7 separate regions of the Mus musculus genome follow, and all the other regions are reported to be linked to region 5. Evidence: microRNA targets listed by miRTarBase, many of them from high-throughput screens and not tested one by one. Region 5 holds a microRNA gene; each other region holds the end of a gene's coding sequence.

Region 1 (4,060 bases), not on the chromosome of region 5:
CAGTCGCCCATGTAAGGCTCATTAACTGAACACTGACTGCCAGCTCCACACCAAGAATACAAGGGGCAGGAAAGGCAAACACTGTTCCTGCTCTCAAACCTTGGATTCTAGTCAAGGATATCACCTAAGCTCCAAATAACTATAAAATCACAGCCCGTGGATACTGGCAGTACTGGTTCTGATTCTAAAAAGAAGTTGGGAGAATAGACAGAGGCCAGATTCTGCCTACCTTACTTTCTAAATCTTACTTTACCTGTGATGGCTCTTTACCTTCGAACACAGAACCATGCACTAGCCTGGTGCCTAGAACACTTGAGGTTGTTGTGAAAGAATAATAGGTGAGCGAGAATACCATTCGTCTGCCTGTGCTTTCTGATACTCTCTGTGCTCGCTGATTTCCCTTGGCAGTCACTTCTTTCCAAATGTCTCATCCCCAATCCCTAGGTTCGGGCCTATCTGACATGTTGCAAGCTACGTTCTGCCTACCTGATTGCTGTGAAGCAAGAACACTCGCAGGCCGCCGCCCTCGTCCAGCAGGTGCAGCAGGCTGCCAAAAGCAGTGGGGATTCTGTAGTGCAGGACATCTGTGCTCAGTGGCTTCTGACAAGCCACTCTCGAGGTGCCCATGGCTCAGGCTCCAGGAAGTGACCCTGGGCTGCAGAACCTGGAAACCATAGCCTGGGAACTATGGCGACAGGCACAATACCACACAATGCCCTCCCTCTCCGTCTTCCTGTGGAGTGGGACTTTATGCGCCTGACCCAGGTCGGAGTGAGCAAGTTGGACCGTTCTTGCCTGAGTGGGCAGGAATAGGTCCTTTCACACAAGTGCCATGTAAAATTGTAGACTCTGTGTTTGTCTGGAGATAGCCACTTCTTTCTACCTCAGAGTGACTGTGCGTGCGCATGTGTGCACATCCGTGTGCATGCTCCTGTGCACTTGTGTTTACGCCCAAGCATTTTCTGAACAAATGAGACTCCTCCATTGAAGAGAGGCGCTTTACTTCCTGCTTTGTGCTGGTCTGAAGACCTTCGGTATGTTTGGTTCTTGTCCTAGGTCGGCCTGTTCGTGCACAGTTTCCCCTCTATGCAGACATACATGGTCCTCCTAACAGGAGGGGTCAACAGAATTACAGAGCAATGCCAAAAAGGTTGCTTCTGCCCAAAATTCAGAGAGAATGTTAGAAGCATGGCTGTGGAAGATGGCAGCCTTCCCCGTCACACCTCTCGCAAGCACAAGGTTTTCAAGTGCAGACATCTGAAAGCTCTGGCAGTGGTATAAAGTCAGATCTGGGAAGGTGAGGCCAGGCCCCTTCACATTCATTCAGAAGGAAGGAAAAGGCAGACCTCTCTGAGCACAAAGCTGGCTCTTGCCAGTATCCCTGCTGCAGGATTGATGTGTAAGGACACATGGCTTTTTCTTTCAGAGGCTGGGGAGAGAAATGGTAGCCAGGATCATTGGGACTGAGTGAATGCTAGTCTCTACCTGTTTGCATTCCATTCCCGTTTGTACCTCTTGAATTAGTTAAGAAACCATTTCTCCATCTCTCGTGCTCCCTGTCTGGTCTCCTCAGGGACACAGGGTGGATACCTAAGGTGAGCTGGTGCTGAGAGAGAGGGTCTGCATTTTAGTGACTGATTTGCAAATGAGAGCCCTAAAGAAAGGCCTGTGGCCCCAAGTCTCCCACCAGCCAGAGCTCAGCCTATTGTCTCCCCTTTGCTGCCAAGGCAACAGGAACTGGAAACTGAAGTCAGTGTCTCTGGTGCTTAGAAACCCTCTTCGTTTCTTCTGAACCAAGATTTTCTTAATTAACAGCTGTTAATGGACATCTGTCAGATTCCAGGCTTTGGTCCTAATAGAGAAGAAAGGCTGAAGCAGAAACCTAGCTCACTTAAGGCTGAGGTCTGACAGTGCCTTTCCTTCCTGACGCATAGAACACACCACAGCTCACAGGAACCCCCATTGCCTGAGGTCTGCTTACACTCAAGGCTGTGTATGTTTGCACTGAACATAAGCACTTTACACAACTGGGTTGGAAGTCTTGCAGCCCTCGATTTAGGATGTCATTACCAGATTTCCCTGACTATCTTCTAACTTGAATTGTAAAATAGGTGGACCATTGACCAGGTTAACAGAGAAAAGACTGCAGACCTAAGACATTATACTGTGGTCTCCTGAAAAGCAACAATAATATCAAAGCAGTTGTACATGTTGAGGGGTTGTTTGTCCTCCTACAACCAAGCCACAATAAACTGCCTATCCCACCTACGTCTTAGCTTCATCAGCTTTTTAAATTTTATTATTTACTGTTATGTGCATTGGTGTTTTGCCTGCATGTATGTCTCTGTGGGTGTCAGGTCTCCTGGAACTGGAATACAGACAGTTATGAGCTCCCATGTGGTTGCTGGAAGAGCAGACAGTGCTCTTAGCCTCCAAGCCATCTCTCCAGCCCCATGGCTTTATTTATATAAACACACGTTTTAAATTTTTTCATGAGTACCTGCGTGCGCGCACTCGTGTGTGTGTGTGTGTGTGTGTGTGTGTGTGTGTGTGTGTGTGTGTGTGTGTTGTGTGTTGTGTGTGTGTTGTGTGTATCACATGCATGCCTGGCACCTGTGGAGGCCAGAAGAGGGTATCCAATCCCCTGGGACTGAAGTTACAAGTAGTTGCGAGCTTCCTAATAGGGTTTCTGGGAACTGAATTCAAGTCCTGCCTAAGAACAAATGCTCTTAACTGCTGAACCGAGTCTCCATTCCCTGACTTCTATTTGTTTTGGGACAAGATCTCATATAGCACAGGCTGACGTTGAACTTGCTGTGTAGCTAAAAGTGATCTTTAACTCCTGATCCTCTTGCCTCCACACTCCCTGTTTCCAGACTCCCGTCTTTTGTGTGTTCTGTGGGGAAAAAAAGATGAGTGGGAAAGAAAGTTCAAGTGGGCCAGGCAGTGGTAGTGCACGCCTTTAATCCCAGCACTCGGGAGGCAGAGGCAGGAGGATTTCTGAGTTCGAGGCCAGCCTGGTCTACAGAGTGAGTTCCAGGACAGCCAGGGCTATACAGAGAAACCCTGTCTCAAAAAAACAAAAAAAAAGTTCAAATGGCTAATTTCCTCTTAAACAATTCCTGGAGTGACCATTCACTCACTTAAGATTTCCTCTAATTCCCTATGTATTAAAAACTGTTAGTGGACCAAGGAGATGTCTCAGCGGGTAAAGCACTCAACACACAGGCCTGACAAACTGAGTTTGATCCCTGGCACCCAGATGAAGGTAGAAAGAAAGGACTGACTCTTCCAGGCCTCTGACCTCCAGAATACACACCATGTCATAAACGTGTCTGTATATGCATGCACAAATACATGCTAAATACATGATATTAATAAATTTTAAAACCTTAAAAGGAGGCTGGACGTGGTGACACACACCCTTGATCCCAGCATTCAGGAGACAGAGGCAGAACAATATGAGTTCCAGGCCAGCCATGGCTACATAATGAGACCCTGTCTCAAGAAGACAAGAGAGCAATGAGTGTTCCTGCTCAGCTCCCGTTGGGACTGTAGAGATGGCTCATGGGTTAAGAGCATTGGCTGCTTTTCCAGAGAACCCAGGTTCAATTCCAGCATCTACATAGAGACTCAAAACCATCAAGGGAATATGGTCCCCTCTTCTCTCCATCAAGGGCCTCAGGCATACCGATGGTACATAGACATATATATACAGGCAAAATACCCATATATATATAATAAAACACGTTTGTTTTTATCTACAAGCTTTATGGAATATTTTGTTCTTGAAATAGGGTCTCAATTTCATAGTTTTTTGCTCAGGTGATGGGAGTCAGATGGCACACTGAAACCTTTTTTAAGGTGAGTTGCCATTTTTTTTTAAACTTTGTGATTCCTAGCATGACAAAAAAAAAAAATTAGCCAACTATATTTTTACTATCAATTGATTTGTGAATTTTTTTTTTTTTGAAGAACCACCTGTATGGTATTTGAGAAGAGCATAACTCAAGCTTAGGAAAAAAAAAAAAAAAAACTGTTTGCCTGTCTTTCTCTTGGG
Region 2 (4,066 bases), not on the chromosome of region 5:
AATTTGTACAATTTGAATGAAAACATAAGAATCAGAGCCAGGTGGTGACGGGAGCCTTTATAGTCTCAGTACTCAGTAGGCAGATCTGAGTTTGAGGTCAGCCTGTTTATAGAGTGAGTTCCAGGACAGCCAAGATACACAGAGAAGTCTTGTCTCAATGAAAGAATGAAAGGGGGAGGGGGGCCTGGGAGGGAGAGGGAGAGAGAGAAAAGAAAAAAGGAAAGTAAAAGAATGTACTTCAGGACGTCGTCTATTTAGGGGCTGAATCCTTATCTAGATTTTGGAAACTCACATCTGAAAATGGTTTGAAGAATAAGAATTCTGCAATATCAAAGCAATATTTTTATCACAGATTTTGAAAATAAAAACCCACCAGCAGGTTTACTTTACTGTTGCCTTTACTGGAAATACTGATAAACAGCAGCTCTATCTTCTGATTTTATGATTAGTCTTCAAAGGACAATGTGGTGATTTAATATTCTAAAAGCAGTTGTACTTAAATTTTTACTAAAGTTTGGTTCTTAAAAGATACTGTGTCAGTCAGTGGTGGTGCACACCTTTAATTCCAGCACTTGGCAGAGGCAGAGGCAGAGGCAGAGGCAGAGGCAGAGGCAGAGGCAGAGGCAGAGCAGGTGGATTTCTGAGTTCGAGGCCAGCCTGGTCTACAGAGTGAGCTCCAGGACAGCCAGGGCTACACAGAGAAACCCTGTCTCAAAAATATTGTTAGCTCAATGGTTTCACCCAGATGAAATTATAAATACAGCATTTTAATATACTGATTAAAAATATGTTAAATGTAGTACTGGAAAAATGTATCCAGCATGCTAATTACAATGCAATATTCATTTCTATTGCTATAGTGATGTTAGTGATTCAGTATACATTACAAATTAGAAGCATGTAATGTTCTAATGAAAGGATGAAAATTTTCTGTTGTTTTCTTTTTGAGTCAGGGTCTAACTTTCTAAGCCTGGCTGGTATGAACTTGCTACATAGATCAGGCTGTCCTTGAACCTATAGAAATCACCGCCTGGTGCCCAAGTGATGGGATTATAGGCTTGTATCACCACCATACTAGGCTTAGGAATACATTATTTATTGTATACTCCTGCCACAAAATAAGAAGGGAGAAGAGTAAATGTTGCAGACTTTGTTTTACAATCTTATGGCTAGAAAAATTAAAGGAGAACGCATATATCTATAAACACCTGTCAACACATGACACTATTTCCATCTGAAAGAATCCAGAAAATAAGTCTGTACTAGCAGACATGTAGTACGTTGTAGATGAGTCCCACTTGTGGTTCTTCCTCCAACAGACAAAGCCAACTGATATGACCATTTCATTAAGCAGGAAGAAGACTGTGTGTGTGTGCTGCGAGGTAAAGCTGCTTCTTTCATTGCCCAGAGCATAAAAAATGGAGCATGCCATCTTATTCAATGTCAACAAGCATATTTAGGAATAAGAATTCTGTTAAAACAATAGTATTGCTTTTTACTATACTCAATTTTTATTGATATTTACTTGAACTTTGATTTTTTTTTAAAAAGATACTGTTTAGTCAATAATCTGATCCATAGTATTTGATATTGTGCAACTAAAAAATTATAAAGTATAGCTGGGCGTGGTGGCGCACGCCTTTAATCCCAGCACTCGGGAGGCAGAGGCAGGCGGATTTCTGAGTTTGAGGCTAGCCTGGTCTACAAAGTGAGTTCCAGGACAGCCAGAGCTATACAGAGAAACCCTGTCTTAAAACAAAAACAAACAAAAAAAAATTATAAAGTATGTTAGGTCTTATTTTGAATATTTTCTCTTCAAACTGGAAATCTATACTGTTATACAAATCAATCATTCTATTTCTCTTTGAGAAGTAAACTATGCACACCACATTCTTTGAGATCACAAACTGAATTTATTAAGTGGATACTGAAAGAAATATGCAATCAGGAACTACAGAATTTCTTTGTGCACGTGAGAAGTTAATGAATTTAAAAGGATCAGACTCAAACCCTTAGTCTCACTAGCATCACACTCCAACCAAACCACATCAACCTGCCCAAATGGTTCAATAAGACAGTGAAAACTGCAGGCTAAGAAGAAAGAAAGGCTGTAGTTCCCAGCTGAAGGCTTCAGGGGAATGGAGGTTCATGACACCCCCACGTTCTGAAGAATGACTTCTTACATACCTCACCTCGAAATCACAAAACTGTAGTCATTTGGATGTGACTCTAATCTGAGGATATAATAATCAATTACTACAACGGATATTCATTCTGTGGTGTACATAGATATCTGGAATAATAGCTATACAAAACAGAATTCAGTTAAAAAATAACACTGGAGGGCAGGGGGGCTGGGGGTCTCAGTAGTCACTGCTTTAAGTTTTAAAATGTACATTGGAATATGAAGAGGAAGTCAATTTATCTTTTCTGGAAGCTTGCAAGCCTTACTAAAGAAAGATGATGAATGGGCCAGCAGGAGTGGTAGCTAACTGCAATTCCAACTAAGACAGGTACGATTCAAACTGTTATGACTTCCTAGAATTGAGTACACTGATACTTCAAATGGCCATATTAAAAAAAAAACAAAACAAAACACAAAAACGCTTGCATATGGTTTGCTGGAATTTCCTACTAACCATTAGAGGAGGTAGTGATGCACTGTGTTGGAACTTAAAGTACAATGTCAGCATTAACTGTAAACAATTCTGAAACATTGTGTGGAACTTTTCAGAACACATTTAGTGTCAAGGAATTAATCAGATTTCATATAAAATTAGAATTAAAAAAGCAAAAAATAGAAATATTTAGTAAATTTACTCAAAGGAAGTTTAAATGTTACAGAAATGAAAAATATTAGAACTCTATATACAATAAAAAGTGAATATAAATTAGCCAACTCCATGGACATTTCCAGTTAAACATTCATACAAATACATATTCACCTTTTTTCTTTATATAAGAATAACACATACATACAAACATAACATGAAGTTTCTGACAAAAAGAATCAGAGATGCTAAAAATTTCTCAAGTTTAAAAAAATGGTGTCGAATATATTTCAACAACATTCTACATGAATGTAAACCCCTGATTTAATTCCATGATTTTATCATGCCAGAGCATGGTTGCTTTTAATTTTTTTAAAAAAGATATTGGTATTATAACATATTGGCTTATCAATAATTAAGGCATTTGTACACAGTATCAGTGTGGACAAAAATTTTTAATATTACTTACTATGATGTTTTAAACTTTCCAAGTCTTTCCAACAGAAGAAATTAGCTGCACACACTTAAGTGTTTCTTCATAAAACACAATAAAAAATTTAATGATTGGTCTTTATAGTTCCTGGTAATAAGTCCTGTCTTATTTTTGCATACTATCAATCATATTCTTATGCAGGGCCGAGTGAAGACCCAGTAGTTCTTAAACAACGCTATCAAACAGTCATTTGAATTCTGAATGCAGCAAAGGCAAACAGTCTTCATAGTGCACTTTCACCTCATTGAAGTTGATGCCGCTCCTTCTTGATATTTCCACTTCAATGTGAAGTAGATTGTTAGGATTTCATTAGTGGTTTTATTATGTGGCTTTTTAAAAGAAAAAAATTGGTTTTATTTCTTCCACAGCTCTCGGTTCTCAGGAGAGACCTCCTTTTGGAAATCATAGAATCCAGCGCTGTCTGAATACTCAAATCTTTATAAGATGAAATCTTTCAATGCAGCTGTAATAAATAAGCATCTACATCCTTAAAGGAGAAAAAACATCCCATCAGTTAATCAAGCAAATACAAACGCACTCAACCTGCCTTCTTTTCTGCTTGTTTCTTAATTTGCCTTACTTCCCTTTGAAACCTTTAAAAAGAAGGAAGAAGTCTTATTCAAAAATTTTATATGCATTTGTTTATCACAGGTCCTGGCACATGCTATATGTTCAATAACGTTGAGCAAACACTAAGTGAATGTTTTGGTTCCTGTGTTTCAACAACTCTGCTTTGCAGTTAAAATGCAGAGATTCTGTAAGTGCTATAGAAACCAAAGCCCAAGGCACAGTTTGACAATTT
Region 3 (4,060 bases), not on the chromosome of region 5:
CCTTGATCAGCCTTTACAGTAAACATGACCCATCTGTGGCTGCTTAATGTAAGTTTTCAATGCAGTGAAGTGTTTACACGTTATAAGGAACATTGGAACCTCAAGAAAAACTCACTTCGAGGACACTGGTTAAAATTCACAGGAAGTGTCCAGTAGCCCACTCAGAAAAGGATTGGTGTACATCTTACCTTGTGCTGGGGATCCCAAGTTACCACACCCAGCCTCCAGACAGGAACCTGGAAAGTCTGTATTAGACAGTGGCATTCTCTGGTGGCTGGTTCCCCTGGGTGACCTTTTCCCCCCCTCTCCCATAGATGGACACTGAGGGAGACTGTCCTGAAAACCCACACGCTTGCTGCTGCAGCTTCCTTCTCAGCTACCTTGTGTCCTGCATGCTGCCTGCCTTACTCCATGGGATCTTCCCAAGAGAACCCTCTTTGGAGACTACTGGAAAGCGGAGGGGCACTCACTGTTCTGTATGGACGCTCAGCAGGTTTTGTGGCTAGGGCGTTTACATATCCCAATGCTTTAACAGCAGCACTTCCTTGTTTCTTACATGGGAATGAATATCTGTTTAGGGGGCTTGGGGGGGGTTACTCCTTATCCTTACCAACACTACGGGTGGGAGTATAAGATGTAGAGGTACTTAGGGGTCCCGTCCCTCTGTGTGTTCTCTGTGCTGGAGGGCTGAGCATCACTGCATTTGGGAGAGCTGCTGGCTTTTGAGCCAGCTTTTCTTTCCTGGATTATATGAAGATCAGACAGAAGCTTACTAATAGCACAGTTTGCTCTGAACACTGTTACGTGAGTGGATTGTAGAACCACTGGTGCTGGTCCTGGTCCTGGTCCTTACAACTGCTTCAGCTTCTGCAACCCTGAAGGTTGTATTAACTGTGTGCCTGCTCTTTTACACCGTATTCCAAGCCAGCGGTGAAGTTGAGGACATTACTAGGTAATACTTATTTTGAAGGTCAACCTGAAATTACATGGCCCTTCCCTGCTGTTCATGTTGTAAATGCAGTCTTTTAGTAGCACCGATTTAAGTCACCTGCTCCTTCCACTTGAGTAAAGGAAGTATGTGACATAAATGTCACATTTTTTTTTTTTTTTTTTTTTGACACAGGGTTTCTCTGTGTAGCCCTGGTTGTCCTGGAACTCACTCTGTAGACCAGGCTGGCCTCAGAAATCCGCCTGCCTCTGCCTCTGCCTCCCGAGTGCTGGGATCAAAGGCGTGCGCCACCACGCCCGGCTGCGTCACTGCTTTCTGAGGTACCATCAAATTGTTTATTACAGTTGGCAGTCATGGATTTGAGCATGCAAGCTAGGCTACCTTCTGAAGGAAAACCCTGTCTACAGGGTCTGAGGAGCTGAATCTGGATAACTCAAGGCACATTGATCGTGAGGAAGGGTGACTGTACACTAAGTGTTCCCTTCCTTAGCATGTGCCGTCATCTTTGTCCTCCTCACGATTGCCCTTTAGCTCCTCTGATTTCCACAGGTCTCTATAGAGTGGCAGGAGAGGTGAGCTGTGTTTTGGTTTTTTTCCTTGTTTTGTAAACCTATCATGGTATCCAGAGGCACTGCACATAACATGCCCTGAAACCCTCAGATGGCAGTGCCCTCTACAGACAGGCAAAGGGAGGGAAGCACTGTGCCCTGGACGTTAGAGAGGCAAGCATGGTACGTCAGGCCCAGCCTGCCTTCCTGCTCATGGGTAATACTGGATGAGCAAGCTACTAAGGAGTTCCAGGTATATGGAATACTTTATTTTTTCTACAATATGTCTTGAGTAAGAATACCTGAGAATTAAGTAGTATATTCATTAAATACTAAAAAGTAAGTTTTGTCAATTGCTGTCTTGAGGTTTGTTTACTCTTGTTAGCAGAGTCATTACTACTTAAGAGTAAACCAAAGTACAACCAAGAGTGCGTTCTTGTGACCAAAGATGGGCAGCTTGGCCCTGGAGAGCTAGATAAACCCCTGCACTGAGAAAGGCTTCTTCCCGCAGTCCGGTACTTACACGTGACCACGCTGAGTGTTATACAAGGCAGTGTGGTGGCAAGGGACCTGGGTGTGGACCTGCACTGCGTCGTCTGTTATCATGCACAATCTCCTGACCAAGGCTGTTTCTAAACTCCAGGGTGACAGCATTCTGTCTGTGATTCTGTCTGTGATTCTGGCAGCACAGTTGGTGGGAGACTGTCTGCAAGGGACGATGAGTAGCTCTGATAACCTTGCTGATATTTTGCACTTTTGAAATGTTTGTTTTATATGTGATTATATTTAAGACGTTAGTAAATGCCGAAATAAAACTATTGACCATTTGCCTACATTCATGTGGCCTTATCTATCATCAAGAAAATCAATATAGTAGGCATTTTCTCTTACATGTTACTAAATTCAAAACAAAAAGTTTTAGGCAACTAACTGATGGTAAGCTCTTTTCCCTTGATGGATGTTTACATTCTCATGGACACTATAGCTCAGAATTGAAACAGAGCCTGTCCTTCAGCATCTGCAATATTAGCTAATACAACTGATACCAGCAGTTAGTTACATACACCAGATGGGAAGCCAGTCTTAATCTAGACCTGAACGGTTCTTATGAAGTACAAACCCTCAGGCACACTCTTGTGTTTCACTGCCAGACTTTCTGAGAAAACGAAGTACACTGAGAACACGTTTAAGACTATGTCAGAGCTGGGCAATGCTGGAGCGTGCTTTTAGTCCTAGCACTCTGGAGGCAGAGGCAGGTGGGTCGCTTGAGTTCACTCACACACACACAGTATGTTATAGGAAGAAATACATAAGAGAGACTTTTATTTAAAGTATAATAACAATAAAATGGTAGCTATCAGTTGGTCCTCCATACCAAGTTCTGGTGATAGCCTCTAGTTGCGCCATTTATTTCTTTATGAACAAAGGCAGAAAGTGTTGCATTTATTTTCTAGATAATATCCCTAATTTTTCTTTCCTAATGTAGTAAAAAGTAAAAAATTGGCCAAAATTGAATGTTTTATTATTTAAGGCTTAATGGAATGTTACCACAAAAAGCAAGCCGAATCAGAGTTTAGCTGGCACTGCCCTTATTTATAAAGGACAGGGATTATGTTCGGTAAATGGGGTCATGAAAGCTTCCTTTGTGGAAAGGTTTCCTCTGGAGTGACATTTAATCACTGTAGACACTAGGTCTTAGAATAGCAATCCTATGGATTAACCTAGTGAGAGAAGTCCTGACAGAGCCGTGCCAGGCCAAGCACTGAGACCTCAGGGGCTAGCCTTGGAAGTGGGGTAAAGTGCACAGCCTTGCGGAGGCAAGTACAGTGTGGCTGTGTCCTCACTTAGACCCTGAAGAGGTCAAGCCAGAAATCCTTGGCTTGTGCGTCCTGTCCAGTTAGGAGGGTTGATCTGCTTGTTCTCCACTGAGGTAGATTCAGCTAAATTTCCAAATGGTGCAACTCACTGGGCTTCTGTGAGGACGGAAGTTTGTGCTTGTCCTGAAATGGTTTATGGCACTCTACGTCAGTCAGAGGGGGGTAGTACTGCCTGTAGCAGACATAGGCAAATGTCATTCCAATCATGGAGCCAACTAGCACATCTGAAGAGAGAAAATAGCAACCCCTTTAAAACCATGTTAGATGCTCCACAGTTACAGAGTACTTGGCCCTCCCAGTTATTCTGCTTGTAGGGGCTAAAATAAAAAAAGAGCTCCGAACCTATGCTATTAGTTTCTTTAGAGCAACTTGATTTTACCATACAGTTACAGAATTATTAGTCTGATTGTTCTCTAAACATCAAGTCAACACCCTCAGTTAAATCAGCATGGACTGAGTTAGATTTATTTATTTATTTATTTTGTTTTTTCGAGACAGGGTTTCTCTGTATAGCCCTGGCTGTCCTGGAACTCACTCTGTAGACCAGGCTGGCCTCGAGCTCACAAATCTGCCTGCCTCAGCCTCCCAAGTGCTGGGATTAAAGGCATGCGCCACCACTGCCCTGTGAGTTAGAATTTTTAAACAAGTGTTTTTGACTCTAGTCATCGATTTGTTTTCACTATTTC
Region 4 (4,066 bases), not on the chromosome of region 5:
CACGTACGAAACAAAAGAGTCTAAGAAAGAAGACCTAGTATTTATATTCTGGTGTGTAAAAACAAAAGAAAAAAAGTACTTCTAAAAGTGCAAGGATTATTATTATCAGAGTCAGTTTTTGCCTTTGTTTTTCTTTTGAAATTCAACATTTTCTCCCCCGTAGGGCTCCTGAAAGTGCACCGTTAAAAAGCAAGATGATTTATGCTAGCTCTAAAGATGCCATTAAAAAGAAATTTACAGGTACCAACATCGACTGTTCTGTACAAAAAAAAAAAATTTTTTTTTTTACTCTTTCTTAGTTATAAGGTTAATGAGGTGTGTTTTTCTTTTCCGTTTTAGGTATTAAACATGAGTGGCAAGTAAATGGCTTGGACGATATTAAGGACCGCTCGACGCTGGGAGAGAAACTGGGGGGCAGTGTTGTAGTTTCCCTTGAAGGAAAGCCACTATAAAATAATAGCCAAGTGCCATTTGATCTTAAGGGGCTTACACGTATCTCTCCAGCTCAGTCCACTGGAATTGTATTAGGTTTTGTTTTTTTTTGTTTATTCCCTTTTCACTGGTCCCGTTCGTGAATGAGTGAATATAAGAAGCCTGTCAGTATTGCCATGAGACTGTTTCATATGGTTACTTTTCTGTATTCCCAAGGAATGCCTTCCTGTCTTATTTTAGCCAAAACAAACTGGTTCCATGCCTTCCTTGCAGTGAACGTTACAATGGATGTGGTTGTCAATGTGAATAGCTTAGAGTACTACAAAGGGTAAGCTAACTGAATGCCTTGAAAATATTATCCACTGGTCGGTCATATGGGAGACTTGTTTCAGTATTATTTATAGTTGCACTTGATTACCGTTCTCTGAGGCACTGGAGCCTTCATACACCTCACCTGCCTTGGCAAGCCTATTTTTGTGACCTGGCAGCACAGATTTAACACTATTCGTTAAAAGCACTTTTTTTTTAATGCGTTTAATCCCTTATAAAGAATGCCAATTAAGTTTTATTACCTGTCATCAATTTATCCTAGTATCTCAGTGTTCATTCTTCTTGCCTTCATATTTTTTTCAAAGAAACAGCTGTGCTAATGTCTTTGGTTTCCCGATGAGTGTACACTACTGTATAATTTATGTTTACCATATGAGTCTTGAAACACTACAGATATTTTGAATATCAGTCATGATGGCAATTTCTGTATAAAAGAGCCTTAAATGGAACATTGTTTTGAGATCAAACTCCCTACCCTCACAAAAGTGGCCACGTTGCAATAAAAATTGTGGCAGATTACAGAATGTTGCCTTGTTTTCCTTGGAAATTTTGCAAATTGTTATGTGAAATTTTAGGGTAACGGTGATTAAGCTCTGCACTGGTATTTGGAATTTTTTTTCCTTTAATCTTTGGTTTAAAAACATCTTAAAATCACTTATATACAATCATTAAAAGAGTGGTAATTTTATAAATGCTTATTTATGTTATAAAATGGAGATCAGAAAAAAATTCTTTTTGCACTTTGGCCTATCCAGTATCTTATTTATTCTCTAGATAAGCTAGGATATTAATCCAGAGTTACATTACTGAGAATTGAGTAGTATAAGTAGGATGTTTTTATTACTTGGTCATAATGAAAATAATTTGTAAAATGTCATTCGAAGGTTAATGATGATTGTGATGTTTAGGAATGTTTGTCTCAGCCACAGTTCCTTCATAGCTTTTCCAAAATGAATTGGGAAAAAAAAATCGTATAGCAGTCTTAAAGCTTAGTAATGGAACTTGGCTGTGGCCCAGAGCTTTCTCCTTATAGAGAATTTGATCTGCTCCGTGTGCGCTCTCTGCTATTAGCCGGAGCTATTTATGGCAAACACATGCTTTTGTATCTTGTCATAGTCATCCACAGATGGCAAAACTGGACTTGATTCTACTGGCATGTAAGACAGGCGTGCTAGTGAGCAGTCGTGTGTGGCTCTGGACTCTGACCCCAGAGCTCTGAAGAATGCTCTTATCAGAAGATAGGAAATGAAAATATCCTTTTTTAAAATATGTGGAAGTAATTTGGGTATAATTAGTTTTTTTCTACCTTTTGGAAAGTTGTTTTTTTGTTGTTTTTTTTTTTTTCCCAGATGAGAACATTAACATAGTGGTTAAATGTCTAGGCTTCCATTTAAAACTACACAAATGACTTGGGATCTTTTTAGCACTAAGGAATTTGATTTCAGCCTTCCAGCTGTTGCTGTGAGTTGTTCCAGACCTTTCTGTGGCTTTTTGGTAAGGCTGCTTAGAAGCATGAGAAGCATGAGAATGGTAATGTGTGCTAAACCTATGTTTAACCAATCTTTGCACCAAAGGACTTTTTCACCAATTTATTTTGTTATTCTTCCAAATATTAAGTGATTTCTAAAAGGTAAAGGGTGACCTTTTGTTTTTATATCTAATTTCTCAATTTCTTTATATGCATTTTTAGAATAATTTGAGAGATTAAATGCTGCTTGAAACTATTATACTTTGAGTTTTAGATTGGCCAAATACATTAATGTAGTTAAATTCATCTTTAAAGTACACATATGTGCCTAGAGCCAAAAAATAATAATGATTTAATTTATGACCTTATGTTGAGACTAATTTCACATCTTATTTTGCAGTCATTTACAGTGAAACAATGTTCCAGCTAGCTTTAAAAGCTATACGGTGCTAATTAGTAAAATATTGAGGGCAATATTTTACTGCTAGCTTGCAAAATTATAAGTGTTTTAAAAATAAAATACATGAAAATATTTAAAGCTGTTGAGATGTGTTTACTTGCATTTAAAACAGTGAAAGCCGAGAAACTTAGGTTGTGGATTAGAGAGGCAGCGTTATCTGCACGTTATCCTTTTCAGGATTTAGGAAATATGCTTTCTTTTAGAAATCCTGTTTCAGGCCCGAGAGATGGCTTAATAGATAAAGACTGGATGGAAGCCTGGCTACCTGAGCACAGTTCCCACTTAACAGAGGTGTTCACACCTTTAATCCCAGCACTTGGGAGGCAGAGGCAGGCAGATTTCTGAGTTCGAGGCCAGCCTGGTCTACAGAGTGAGTTCCAGGACAGCCAGGGCTACACAGAGAAACCCTGTCTCGAAAAACAAACAAAAAAAGGTGTTATTTGTTTCATGTGTATATGTGTCTGCATATATATGTGTGTGCCATGTATGTGCCTGGTATCCAGGGAAACCAAAAGAGGGCACATGAGTAATAGGTGGCTTTGAGTCACAGTATAGTGCTGGGAACTGAATCCAGGTCCCCTGCAAGAGCACCAAATGCTCTGAACAGATAAGCCATCTCACCACTTGCCTTTAATAGTTACATAGATTTTTTTTTAAAGTCATAAAAAGCCTGGTGTGGTGACACACACCTGTAATCCCAGCACTTAGGAAACTAAGGCGGGGAGTAGGCTGGTTTATTGAAGATCACTGGTTCTATTTTTATAACAGTTCCACTTGATCTCATAGTTTAAGTACTAATTAGCTGATAGAGAACATCTTCTTTTAGAAGTATATCATACAGAGTGCTAGGGGTGACTCAACTAAGTGCTTGCTTGCTTGCTAGGCACCGTGTAGAAGCCAGGCATACCTGTATGAACCGGAATCCTAGTGCTAGGTAGGTTGAGACAGGCCAGCCTAGGGAGATCTGGATGTTCCAGTTTCAGTCAGAAACCCTGTCTCAAAAACAAAGGGAAAGGAGAAGCAGTTGAACTGGATTTTGACCTCTGGCCTCCACAGTCATGTACATAAACACAAATACAGAATATAGTTAGTGTCCATAACTTTATACCATGTTGGGTGTGTTGATGTGTGAGTAGTGAGAGCTGGCCTCAAACTTCCAAGTAACTTTGAAGTAAAATAAAGGCATATTACCCATAGTGTTGAAATCTATAACTTCATGATTGTTATTCTTAAGACAAAGATGGCACATAGCTCAGGCTAACCTCAAACTCAGTATATGCAGAAAGGTGTCCTTGAACGCCTGGTCCTCTGGCCCCCACCTCATAAGTGCTAGAATTACAGGCATCCCACACCAAACCTGGCTTATTAGTTTTGAG
Region 5 (4,066 bases):
GACTCCAGGGTTTCATGCTAGAGAAGCAGCCTACCTGGGAGCCCCATGGCCAGCCTCCCTGTGCCCTGTCCAAACCCACTCCACTCCCCATGCTCAGAGTAGAGATGCTCCAAGCCCCAGGCCAGGTCTGCCCTGCTGCCCATTCTTGTTGAGGACAAGTTCAGTGCAGCCAGCTACAATCCCAGATGCCTCCTTTCCCTCCAGTATGCTCGCTTGGCAGAGATTGTGGGCATGCATGACCTTGGTGTTAGCGTTACCCTGGGAGCTCATCAGAGCATCGGTTTCAAAGGCATCTTGCTCTATGGCACAAAGGCCCAGAGAGAAAAATACCTTCCCAGAGTGGCATCTGGTAAGGCAACCTTAAGAGACCCAGGGGTAAGGAGTGTGACACTGCTCACGGTGTTACAAGGAACTGCCTGGGGATGAGGGGGTGCAACTCTGGTGGTCAGGATCCCCAGTGAGCCCGTTCTCTCCCCCACAGGGCAGGCTTTGGCTGCTTTCTGCCTAACAGAGCCCTCGAGTGGATCCGATGTAGCCTCCATCCGAAGCTCAGCCATACCCAGCCCCTGTGGAAAATATTACACTCTCAATGGGAGCAAGATCTGGATCAGGCAATCTTCCGTTTCTCTTCTACCCTTCAGCCCAGTGGCCTGACCCTGCTGCTCTAAACCCTATACTAACCACCTCACTCTTCCACAGTAATGGGGGCCTGGCTGACATTTTCACTGTCTTTGCCAAGACGCCAATTAAAGATGCAGCCACGGGGGCCGTGAAAGAGAAGATCACAGCTTTTGTAGTGGAAAGGAGCTTCGGAGGGGTTACCCAGTGAGTATGGGGCAAAACAGAATCAAGGATGGGGACAGCACTGGGCTCTCAAGAGCAAATAGTCAATACAGGCCACGCTGGGGCTATCTCTGTACAAGAGGCACCCACAGGAGGTGAGCAGTTTTGTTTCCACTGGGGGAACACAGGCTAACAGGCCATAGCTAGATATCCGTAGCCCCTGGGGCACATAGGCAGTGCCCTGTATCCTTTTTATAGTCTGGGGAGTTCTCCCCTGATCATGAGACCCGAAAAGGCCGTTTTCCCCCACAGCAACCTGTTCATACCTCAACTTTCCTGCCCTGCCTTTTCAGTGGGCTCCCTGAAAAGAAGATGGGCATCAAAGCATCTAACACGTCAGAGGTGTACTTTGATGGAGTGAAGGTGCCATCAGAGAATGTGCTAGGAGAGGTGGGAGATGGCTTCAAGGTTGCTGTCAACATCCTCAACAACGGAAGATTCGGGATGGCTGCAACCCTCGCAGGCACCATGAAATCCCTCATTGCCAAGGCGGTGAGTCCCAGCCCAGTCCCTAGCTAGCACATGTCCCTGACTGCCTCAGAGCGCCGACACACACACATGCACACTCGACCATCGGCACAGTTAGGCCTCCAGCCCGTCCAGGTGGAAACTGAAGAACCACAGTGGGGTAACATGCGCCCTCTTGCAGGTTGATCATGCTACTAATCGTACCCAGTTTGGGGACAAAATTCACAACTTTGGGGTGATCCAGGAAAAGCTGGCTCGGATGGCTATTCTGCAGTATGTGACTGAGGTAAGGGCCTCCTGGGCCCCTTCCCTGGAGCCCTATGGCTTTCTTCACAGTTGGGTCAGACTACAACCCCCAGCAGCACCTGGGGCAGTGGGTCTCCAGCTTTACACCAATGCCCTAGGGGATGCGAGGAGGCATAGTCAGTTCTCTTCTGGAGGGTGGTGCTGCTCTGCTAAATGCTGCCCAGATGCACCAAACACGACTTTTAACCCACCCCTTTACAAAGTCGGAAGCCTCGAAGCCCCTGATATACCAGAGGGTCACATATTGGACATATTTGACCTGACCAGGAGGCTAAAGTGAATTCAAGGGTTGGAGGAGTAGATCAGCACTGGTCTTGAAGGTCTGAGCATTAGCCATTCTGTCTGATGCAGCCCTTCCCTGTTGTCTTCCCCATGTCCCGACCATGCTCCCTTAGTCCATGGCTTACATGCTGAGTGCCAACATGGACCAGGGATTCAAAGACTTCCAGATAGAAGCCGCCATCAGCAAAATCTTTTGCTCGGTGAGGACCCAGGTGTGATGGGAGGGCGGAGTCCAGATTAGGACCTCAGCTCAAAAATCCAACTCATCTGGTTCTCTGTCCTCAGGAGGCGGCCTGGAAAGTGGCAGATGAGTGCATCCAAATAATGGGGGGCATGGGCTTCATGAAGGTACAGAGTATTCCTCGGCAGGGGGGGGCATCTGTTCAGAGTGGACAGGCACATCTCAACAGAGGTTTCTGTGTCTTCCTGCGTGCCAGGAACCAGGGGTGGAGCGTGTGCTCCGAGATATTCGAATCTTCCGGATCTTTGAAGGGGCAAATGACATTCTTCGACTGTTTGTGGCTCTGCAAGGCTGTATGGTAAGAGGAAGGAGGATGAGAGAGAGCAGCTGGGGAGGACACTGAGTCCTCACTGTCGCCGTCCCCCTTCTCTCCACAGGACAAAGGAAAGGAACTCACTGGGCTGGGCAATGCCCTGAAGAATCCTTTTGGAAACGTTGGCCTCCTGATGGGAGAAGCAGGCAAACAGCTGAGACGGTACCTCATGGGCCGGGGCCAGGGTCAGAGTCAGGGTCAAACAAGATGGGAGGCCGCAACTGACCAGTCACTCTTCCATCTCCTCTCAGGAGGACAGGAATCGGCAGTGGTTTGAGTCTGTCAGGGATTGTCCACCCAGAGTTAAGTCGCAGTGGTGAACTGGTGAGTGAGCCTTAAAGCAGAGCCTGCGGTGGCTGTGCGCTGCCTTCCTCTCCTGAGCTCTGTCTGTGACTCTTGTCTCTTCAGGCAGTGCAGGCTCTGGATCAATTTGCCACCGTGGTGGAGGCCAAGCTGGTGAAACACAAGAAAGGGATTGTCAGTGAGTGAGCTCTGCAACCCCCTTCCCTCCCTGATTCCCTCCCTCCGACTAACAGCCCCACCCTCATCTACCTGACAGACGAGCAGTTCCTGCTGCAGCGACTGGCGGACGGCGCCATTGACCTCTATGCCATGGTGGTGGTTCTGTCCAGGTAAGGCGGCAGCGAGGGACGCTTGGCAGGCTAGAGCCACAGAGGAGCTGGGCCAACACCAGCACTCAGGATCATTTTAACCTCTGTTTCCTCACAGAGCCTCAAGGTCCCTGAGTGAGGGCTACCCGACGGCACAGCATGAGAAAATGCTCTGTGATAGCTGGTGCATTGAGGTGAGCCTTGGAGCTCCCCAGTACAGGTGGGCCTTGGAGCTCCCCAGTACAGGACGGCCTGACCGTCCCTCCCCTTCCCTCTCCCCAGGCTGCAACTCGGATCCGAGAAAACATGGCCAGTCTGCAGTCCAGCCCTCAGCATCAGGAGCTCTTCCGGAACTTCAGAAGCATCTCCAAGGCCATGGTGGAGAATGGTGGCCTGGTCACCGGTAACCCCCTGGGAATCTGAGACTCCCAATCAGGCCCTGGCAAGGTCATGTGCCTTCTCTGATGCCAAAACCCTTTATGGGGGTGATGGAGTACTTATTGCCTTAACAATAAATTTTCTACCAAGTCACTGTCTGCCGTGAATGTCACTGCTCCCTCCTCTCCACTGCCTGCCTCGCAAAGAAAGGAGCCAGAGGCTTGGGGAGTTGGCCTCTATTTGCTTTATTTGGTGTTTTGTACAAGTGACTAAAATAAATAGAGTAACAAAGGCAGCTACACAGTCCCCAACACACCACCAGCCTCCTTGGACTGCTGTCTGGGGTACCCAGCCCACACCTTCTTCTTCCCAGGGTACCACTGACCACCACCCACCCTCAACATGAGAGCTGACTAGGCACCTGGAGGTGGCGGTCATATTCTGGGGTTAGAAGGGATTCTCCATATAAAAGAGGAACTGTCTATTTAAAAAAATACTCCCCCAAATATAAGAAAGTCTATTTTAACCCCCCAAAAAGCTTATAAAAAATAAAGCTAAAAATAACCAAAGGTCCCCATCTACCCCCGAGGAAGAGGGGGAAGGACCAGGCACTGCTGGTGAGAG
Region 6 (4,066 bases), not on the chromosome of region 5:
GTTGGCTCCTTCCTCATAGCCTGTCTTTGTACTGCTCTAGCAGTCTATCTGTAGACACACTGGAGATGCAGCCTTCCCTGGAGTGAGATCTGCTCTGTGGAGCTGGGGGGGGGGGGAGGGTGTGACTCTCCTACAAAGAGGGTGGGAAGCACTAAGCAGGTGACCCCTTGAGAGCCAGCTGGGCTCCTGTACCTGCATGCCCTTGGGGATGGTGATATGGGTTGGTTCTGAGCACACGGGAAGTAAGAAACAAGGCTCTTCTGTCTGTTCATTCCCAGGGGATGTCTTCCAGAAGCCCTATGTGTCTGGGGAGGCCGATGCAGCATCCAGAGAGCTAACGGGCTCAGAGGACTACCTGTTGCTTGCTTGTGATGGTTTCTTCGATGTTGTCCCCCACCATGAAGTCACGGGTCTCGTCCATGGCCACTTGCTCAGGCACAAGGGCAATGGGATGCGTATTGCTGAGGAGCTGGTGGCTGTGGCCCGTGACCGGGGCTCCCATGACAACATTACAGTCATGGTGGTCTTCCTTAGGGAGCCCCTGGAGCTGCTAGAGGGTGGAGTCCAGGGGACAGGGGATGCCCAGGCAGATGTAGGAAGCCAGGACTTGTCCACTGGCCTCTCAGAACTTGAGATCAGTAATACCTCACAGAGAAGCTAAGTGGTCCAGGCCTCCAGGCCCCATCCGGACTCTCCCTCTGCCCTCGTGATCCTCCCCTTCAAAGACCTTAGATCCAAAAGGTATAGTGGGCAGGGGTGCACACTCTCACAGCATTCCCTTAGCACCCCAGCCCTTCATGTTGCCTACCACAGCCTGTCCTCATGGCTGCAGAACTGCAGTAGGCAGCTAGTGGATCTCAGAAGGAAACATAGGAAAATGGCCTCACCGAAGAGCAGATGGCTGAGGTGATCAGGGCCGGACAGGTCTGGGAACAGAAACCACAGGCACCTGCTGGTAGCCTAACCAAAAACACAGGTCAGGTCTTGGAGGACCCTCACACAGATCCTGGAATGAGATCTGCAGCCAGGTGTCCAGCCCAGGCTTGTGGCTTCTCATTGTACCCAAGGCTGGGAGGGTTTGGTCTGTACTAACACACAAGCTCGCAGTCCTGCTTGACTGCTGGCTTCCCAAAGAGGAGACATTGGTCTTGCTGGGAGGCACAGCAGGAGAGTGACCCACTGCCACTGCACTCTAACTGAGTACTAAGGCCACTAGGGCTTTCTAGACCTCGCTTTCCCCTTGAGCTTCCTGGGGAGGTGAAGTGAGGTGTGTGTGTGTGTGTGTGTCTTTGTGTGCTTAGATTTATTGCAGGGAAAGGTCTAATCCAGAATCAGTATTCAGGCTTTGTCATGTTGTATCAGTGCCAAGGTGACCCTCAAGGTCATGTAACTTAAGCAAAGCTTAGCATTTATTTTATTCCTGAAAACTTAAGTATTTTACTTTTTTGTGTGTTCGTGGAGACATTTGCAGTATTAATGATTTTATTTTTCCTAAATCGGGATGGAAACAAACTTTTCCAGGTTATGTTAATAAGCCACTTAAGTGCCTTAAACAGCTTTGGTGTAGATGAGAATTGCTGGGTCCGTCATGGATCCTGATAGGCAGACGTGTTGAGGTTCTCAAAGAGGCTGCATTTGTTGTGGGAAGGCACACTTTCAGCCAGCACTCTTTCTGGGAAAGTCCTTTTGTGCGTCTGGGCACCTCAGAACTTCCTTGAAGTGATGGGTAAAGGCTGTGACTATGGGCACCTGGGGTGACACTGGCCTCCTTGTCCACCTTGGAGTCTGGCTGGTTCCCAGCTGAGAGAACCTTACTGCTCTTGGCTAGAAGATTGACACACTCAATCTCTCTTGAAACTCTCTTAAGTGTGTTTGCAGTTATGTTGATTGAGTTGTTGAAGACAGTGCTTAGGTGAGGAACTTGGGCAAGCCCAGCAGTCCACCATCTTTCTCCTGTGACTTGTGTCCTAACCTGCTAGACTCTGTCCTGACCTGAGCAGCATGAAAGACCTCCACATCCCTAGAGCAGTGATGGATACAGTCAGGCAAGGAAACCAAGTGAGGGTTGGGGGGGATACCAAGAATAGAAGGACTAGGAGGCCCTCAACAAGGGCCAAGCGAGTCAAGGCTGCTCTCTGCAGACACTGGCAGGTCCAGAGAATAATGGTGGCTTAGCAGAGGCTCAGGGAAGGATCAGTAGGAAGAAGGGTGGCTGTGAGGTAGGTCCCCATGAAGGAGACATAGTTCACCTGTAGAGTGAAAGCCCTAGCAAGACTTGCAGAGCTTTGTTCATTGCACCTAAGCCCTCTTTGAAAAGAAGCAAGGGAGCTCATACTTATTCCTCTGAGGCAAGTTCACTTCCAGCAGTAGGAGAGCGAGCCAGCCAAATGCAGCTGGGCACCCACCTGTATGCTTGCCATTTACCCATTCCCACAGCAGGGATGGAAGAGCTGGGGCCATGTAGTTGATTCCTTGATCAAGTCTCCTGATAGGAACGTGATCACTCAGATGGCTGCCCACCTAATAGCTAGGTATTGCTTAACTTGAAGGCCTGCTGCCTTCCGGGGGGGGGGGGGGTGTCAGAATCCAGCATCCTCAGTGCCATCTCAACACAGGGTGTGGTTGTTGGTCCAGCCTGCCTGTAGCAGTGACCTTCATAGAGGGAGATAAATTGATTTTGGTTTTCTCCCATTTTTGCTAACCTGATCATTGCTGGTAAGAGTGGAATTTGGGCCTCCTTGGTGGTCTGGATTCATACTCGCATGTAAAGATGTGCCAAATATCAAGGCCTCAGTGTAAAGGGAAGCCCCTTTCCCAGGCTTGTCTGAGTGCCTCCCCCACCCTTCCCCCTGTCTGGCAATGGTCTGGGACCAACATCAGGCACTGCTCCATCCTGATCTAGTGGCCAAGGAAGACCACATTCTCCTACTGTTGAGGGCTGGCCTTGAGCGAGTTCCTAGGTACAGAGAACTCTTTTTGTCTGGACTGGAGTTGCCAGTACCAAGCCTACAAGACTTGTTGGCCACCTCCTCCTCAGAGTCTCTTCCCAAAAGAATCCCCTAGCCAGGATAATGGGTGGCTTAGTAGAGGCTCAGGGAAGGAACAGGGAGAAGGGTGGCTGTGAGCTCAAGTCCCCCTCTTTGCCACCATCACATTGTGTGAGCGGAACCAGTCACTGCACCTCTCAGGCCTCAGGGAAAGGCATGGAGGGCATGCATAGCATTACCAGGAGCTGCCAGAGCACGGGAGCCCATCCTCCACCAGCAGCAGAGAGGGGTTAAGTATTATTAGTGTCTATTCTTAAAATTAAGTGGGCTGGAACAGAGCTGAGTTACAGGCGCCAGTGTCTTACACAGATACAAAAGCTGAAGCCGTCAGCCTGCCTTTGCAGGTACAGCTGCCTCCCAACCAAGGCCTGGAGGCGTTAAGAGGTGGGAGGGCACAAGCAGGCTTTCAGGAGTGTTGAAGCAAGGGATCTGCAGCATAGCTTTGGGCGTCTCCAGAACTCATGGTGAGGGAGGCACCAACACCTAGAGGTCTTAAAAGCCCTGCATTCACCATGATCTGTCTGCCCCTGCCCTTTTGGGTTCTTCTGCATGCAGTGCCCCCCTCTCCTGATGCTAAGTTTTGGCATGGGTGTCCTGGCTACCTCAACTGTATTCTCAAGGCCAGGAGGATGGCTCTGGCCATACTTACGGAAGCCAGGCCAATTTGTGTGAAGCAAGCTGGGCTTCTGGTTTGATTCAGCTTCTGTAGCCTCCAGGGACCATCCTCTGGAGTCTTGTGCTTTCACTGGACTCTTCAGCTTCACCAAACACACCAAGCTTTGCCATTTACATGCCATGTGGGCCTTGCCAAGGGTTATTTCAGGGGTCTTCCTGGGAGTCTTGTTCTAAGACACCGTGTTTCTTTAGTCTTAGGGACAACTCCCAAGGTGATGAGCTCATAGGACGTCTTCCCATGGGGCCCTGTACTGGTGTCAATAAACCATATATTCAAGATTCCTGAGTGCCACTTGGATCTCTTCCCTGTGCGTCTGTCTATAGTTAACATCTGTATCCCTGAC
Region 7 (4,066 bases), not on the chromosome of region 5:
CTTATTCAAAATGACCGAAAATAAGAGTCTTGACAAGACACGCAGAACCATGCTCACAGCAACATGAACCAAAGCCACCCACGTGTCCATCAATGAGCTGTGCTGTGTACACACCAGAGCAGCGCAGGCTTTCACAGAAGGCCTGATGTGTAGTCCAGAGAGGAACCCTGGGGACATGCTACATGAATTACACCAGTCCCCAAAAGACATACCGCACCATCCCACTTGTAGTCAAACCCATAGAAACAAAGATGCAACCATCGGGGACAGGAGGACAGGGAAACGGAGGCTTCTGGCCAAGGCCTATAGCATCGGTTTAGTAATGGAAGGCCAGTGCACAGCAAGGTGGACATACTCTGCGCTGTGTACTTGGTAACTTCTTAAAGAATACGTTAATGTGCTCCTGTCTCAGTTGAGTACCAGAGTGGCTCTCCTGCTAAGTGCCTACTATTGGGGGTTATTACCCAGGACAGCTAGTGGGCCAGAGAGTGCTTGTTGAGCTGGTCAAACATCCTAAAAAGAGAGTAGCACTTCTCTCCTCGAGGCTCATCATGGGCACGTCAAAGACACAGCCTACGTAGTCGCAGGTTCTATGGCAGGTTTGCAAAGCACTAATATTGAGTGGTGTCCCCAACCCTGGACTGTAGGCACCTGCATGTCACCTTCTTAAGTGAACAGATCCTTATCTCTCAATGCTCACGACACAGGAGGAAGGAATTCTAACACACATTTTCCAGAAAAAGTATTTATTTGACATCATTAAAAAAATAGTTAGGCACATCATTTTCCATGTTTATGTCACCTGATTTACATACCTCAATGCTCAGTACCTCTTAAAAACACTAAGTAAATTGGTAAATAGAGTCTATATTGAAAAGACGTGTGAGAGGCGAACACCTGTAGGCAAAGGTCGCTCGTCAGCATGAGAAAGGAAACATCTGTGAACAAAATAATCTCTAAAAACATTCTGTGAGAAGATAAAATCTAACCAGTAGATTTCTTTTTTAAAAATATATTCAACGTAAAAGTTAAAAACAAGACACTAGAGAGTCTCTGCATCCTACAGGTGAACTGCGAACAGCAGGAGCAGAAGGCAGGCCTAGAAAAGTGATGGTGACAAAGGGGCTGGATCCAGTGTTTCGCTCTGAGGTGAGGGATGAAGGCCTGGGAGCTACCTCAGGGTGACAGCTGAGTCTTCACTGAGCTACCATACTGAAATGCAACGGACTCCCACTGAGACAGAAAACAGATTTCCCTTTTTCATATTTGCCACCATAATATGAAAATAATTCTCTTTTTAAAAAGCAGAATAACAGTGGCTATAATTATACAGAGACTATTTTTGTTTTGTATTTTCAAAAAGATAAGGGACAGAGTCTGTTGCCTAAGCATCTGAAGGCAAGAAGCAGTTTCATGAGTCTTGGAAAACATGGTGCCCTATGCTGCTGGCACTGAAGGAAGGATGGCAGACCTGTGTCTGCTGAGCGCTGTGTGCACTGGGTTCCATATTCAGTATCCACTGCACTCATTCTCAGTATTTTTTCCCCAGGGAAGGAAAGTTCCATTATAGCCTGTGGGAGAAAGCAGCATGGCACAGACGTGGGAAGAAAGAGCATCATTGCCAGAGAAGGACTCGGGGAAGACAGTTCTAAGAGCTGTGTGGCTCATCTGAGCTAGAAGAAAATATGAGGACCATGGCCTCTGAATGGAAGCCTTGTTCTTTTGGGGTGGGCCTAAAATCAGTGCAGGTAGGTCTTACTTACAAATCGCTGACTCTTTTCTTTTCCTTTTTTTTCTTCTTTCATTTGTGTCCTTTCAACTAAGGTCCGACTCTGGCTGAGGACTACACTTGAGAGTTCCAGGCTCTGCCCCCTCTATCTGTCCATGTGGTTAACAATGTGCTGGTCACTAAGAGCCCTCAATATGGAAAGCAAAGGCCAGACCTAAAGCCCTCAGTGGCCCTGTGACCCACTAACACTCCATGGAGAGCCTGTCTTGGCATTACTGACCAAAACCTCCCACATATTTCTGATACAAGATCACAGAAAACTTAACAAATGTCCTTCTTACAAAATTTATATGCAAGATAGAGCCTAAAGATGAAAATTTTCAAATAGAGGGGGGGGAAAAAATCAAAACTCTCCTATTCCCCACTGAGACACAAAAAAATACAAGCTCCAGACCTGCAGTCAGCTAAGCACCAAGGAAGCAGAAGCAAGCTCCTTCCCTAGCAATCATGCTGGCCCAAGCAAGCCCCTCCAAAGCCAGCGATGCTTCAGAGCCATGCCACCCAGCTCTGGCAATCACTCCTCCCTAAGGCAGTTCAGTCAATGTCCACTCACACAGGCTCTCTCAGAATGAGGAAAGGAGATATATCCATTCTGAGATGCTCATCAGGTAGACGTATCTGTAGGTGAGAGCTGACCTCACATCACTTCAGGGAGAGGGACTTAGATCCTTCCAAGAAAAGACCAAGTTCCAATAATGGAAAGATGCCCACCTAGCTCTTCCCTCACACCAATCAGTTCAGAAATGTAGGCCTTTGTGTGGAAATGAGGACCTGCAAACAGGGATACAAAGAGCAGCAACTACATCCACATGATGAAGGCATGGGGACGGGGTGGCAGCTGCCTTGATTGTCCCTTTAAGAAAAGGGTTAGGCTGAGCCACTGCTATGCTGGTGTACAAAATATAGCTGTTCAGTCTCTTGTGGGCTCTGGACTCATGGCGTGGGGTAGGCAGAGCAGGGGCTTCTAATCTCATAGACCTGCAGGTCCAAAGAGCTGAAGTAACTGGTGCACAGTCTCGGATTTTTCCAGTTGGACAGAGAACCACGTTTTCCATTTTCCATTCAGTCTAGAGCAGGACCATTACCAATGGATCTCTGTATTCCAGCACTCAGCACAGTGCCTGCGAGGGACTTTCACTGCACTCCAGCTGAACGAGTGAGTGAATGGCTGGCTTCTTCCACCCTTGCTTGTCTCCAGCTGAACAAAGAGGAAGCAGACATTCCCAGGCACACTCTGCTCACCCCACAGTCTAGGAAAGCAAAACACTTCTCAGGGCTTTTAGTGCCAAAGCTGCCACCTTTGGCAAATGTGATACTATGAAGACAGTGCAATTAAAAAGGTGGGGGAAGGAAATGGAAGGAAGAACAAAATAGAAGAGGAGGAAGAGGAAGAGAAAGAAGCAGAAGGAGAAAGAAGGAGAAGGAGGAGGAGAAAGAGGAGGAAGAGAAGGAGGAGGAAGAGAAGGAGGAGGAAGAGAAGGAGGAAGAGGAGGAGGAGAAGAAGAAGGAGGAGGAGGAGGAAGAAGAAGAAAGAAAGAAAGAAAGAAAGAAAGAAAGAAAGAAAAGAAAAGAAAAGAAAAGAAAGAAAAGAAAAGAAAAGAAAGAAAAGAAAAGAAAAGAAAAAAGAAATTTCAGATCCTCAGCTGCATTTCCAGCTAGTTTCCAGAGACAGCCCACTGGAAGGCAGCTCTAGCTGGAACACATTGTATACACTGCCAGGGCCACCCAGATAGCAAGCTATAGAGTAAAGGATTTCAAAACACTGATGCTTCACTGTCAGAGGAAAAAAATAAATTAAAACCCACCCAGTACATTTTCCAGTCTGATATAAATTAATTCAAACACAGTTAGCATACAGTCAATAAATTTCCAAAGGCAGCAGTCAATCCCAGGGTTGTATAATTGCAAAGGAACATTGACTCCCCGCAATCAGGAGGCTCCAGTGTCTTCCGGGCTGCGGAGGTCACACTGCTCCTTTTCCCTTCGTGTCCAGCTTGTTACTGGCCTCTGACTGCTTGCTCAGCTGCTCTTCCGTGAAAGTGATGTAAGAGTACACCAGGCTTCCAGCAATACTGCAAAACAGAAAGCCATAACGAGGGAGGGACAAAGTGAAGGAAGGAATGAGTCCTTACACTTGTACCAGGTAAAGTCTGGTAAAAGTTAGGCATGTCCTCAGAATGGAGTACTAGACATCCATTAGATTGCTGATAAGTAAAATTGGCAATGGCATCTTAACAAAAACTACACAAAATATTAAATGTTGGTGACTTCTATATG

What was found. The annotated mature microRNA mmu-miR-324-3p reads CCACUGCCCCAGGUGCUGCU and lies in region 5 at 1,669-1,688, opposite strand. An mRNA with a match to its seed (bases 2 to 7 or 8) in the 3' UTR can be bound and repressed. Matches are read on the target gene's strand: a 7mer-m8 pairs with bases 2 to 8, a 7mer-A1 pairs with bases 2 to 7 and ends in A, and an 8mer does both.
Region 1: the mRNA of Zfyve26 is a reported target of mmu-miR-324-3p. Seed matches in the 3' UTR shown: 7mer-m8 at 1,269-1,275.
Region 2: miRTarBase lists Katnbl1 as a target of mmu-miR-324-3p. Seed matches in the 3' UTR shown: 7mer-A1 at 2,371-2,377.
Region 3: the mRNA of Plpp5 is a reported target of mmu-miR-324-3p. Seed matches in the 3' UTR shown: 7mer-m8 at 3,079-3,085.
Region 4: the mRNA of Cfl2 is a reported target of mmu-miR-324-3p. Seed matches in the 3' UTR shown: 7mer-A1 at 702-708.
Region 6: the mRNA of Ppm1f is a reported target of mmu-miR-324-3p. Seed matches in the 3' UTR shown: 7mer-A1 at 2,026-2,032 and 7mer-A1 at 2,645-2,651.
Region 7: the mRNA of Slc35d1 is a reported target of mmu-miR-324-3p. Seed matches in the 3' UTR shown: 7mer-m8 at 3,500-3,506 and 7mer-A1 at 2,924-2,930.

Annotation. Positions count from the first base shown.
Region 1 is chr12:79,230,554-79,234,613 of GRCm38, reverse strand. Zfyve26 (zinc finger, FYVE domain containing 26) reads left to right here. Exons shown (of 42, transcript NM_001008550.1): 42 at 445-2,267. The coding sequence ends at 648. Among named protein-coding and RNA genes, the nearest start is that of Rdh12, 24 kb to the right of the region's middle.
Region 2 is chr2:112,412,068-112,416,133 of GRCm38, reverse strand. It overlaps Katnbl1 (katanin p80 subunit B like 1), which reads right to left. Exons shown (of 10, transcript NM_024254.3): 10 at 1,897-3,751. The coding sequence ends at 3,719. Among named protein-coding and RNA genes, the nearest start is that of Katnbl1, 35 kb to the right of the region's middle.
Region 3 is chr8:25,723,618-25,727,677 of GRCm38, reverse strand. It overlaps Plpp5 (phospholipid phosphatase 5), which reads right to left. Exons shown (of 7, transcript NM_028000.1): 7 at 2,791-3,598. The coding sequence ends at 3,438. It overlaps Ddhd2 (DDHD domain containing 2), which reads left to right. Exons shown (of 18, transcript NM_028102.1): 17 at 1-48; 18 at 315-2,354. The coding sequence ends at 22. Among named protein-coding and RNA genes, the nearest start is that of Plpp5, 5.6 kb to the right of the region's middle.
Region 4 is chr12:54,857,511-54,861,576 of GRCm38, reverse strand. Cfl2 (cofilin 2, muscle) reads left to right here. Exons shown (of 4, transcript NM_007688.2): 2 at 1-51; 3 at 164-240; 4 at 340-2,760. The coding sequence ends at 452. Among named protein-coding and RNA genes, the nearest start is that of Cfl2, 3.3 kb to the left of the region's middle.
Region 5 is chr11:70,009,717-70,013,782 of GRCm38, reverse strand. Mir324 (microRNA 324) reads right to left here and starts at 1,740; the gene lies at 1,652-1,740. It overlaps Dvl2 (dishevelled segment polarity protein 2), which reads right to left. Exons shown (of 15, transcript NM_007888.4): 15 at 3,674-4,066. It overlaps Acadvl (acyl-Coenzyme A dehydrogenase, very long chain), which reads left to right. Exons shown (of 20, transcript NM_017366.3): 7 at 205-349; 8 at 482-611; 9 at 700-825; 10 at 1,137-1,335; 11 at 1,493-1,597; 12 at 2,013-2,099; 13 at 2,185-2,247; 14 at 2,337-2,438; 15 at 2,518-2,615; 16 at 2,705-2,777; 17 at 2,862-2,934; 18 at 3,013-3,085; 19 at 3,183-3,258; 20 at 3,347-3,600. The coding sequence ends at 3,487.
Region 6 is chr16:16,923,362-16,927,427 of GRCm38, forward strand. Ppm1f (protein phosphatase 1F (PP2C domain containing)) reads left to right here. Exons shown (of 8, transcript NM_176833.4): 8 at 279-4,014. The coding sequence ends at 661. Among named protein-coding and RNA genes, the nearest start is that of Ppm1f, 29 kb to the left of the region's middle.
Region 7 is chr4:103,169,920-103,173,985 of GRCm38, forward strand. Slc35d1 (solute carrier family 35 (UDP-glucuronic acid/UDP-N-acetylgalactosamine dual transporter), member D1) reads right to left here. Exons shown (of 12, transcript NM_001356276.1): 12 at 730-3,861. The coding sequence ends at 3,753. Among named protein-coding and RNA genes, the nearest start is that of Gm46864, 43 kb to the right of the region's middle.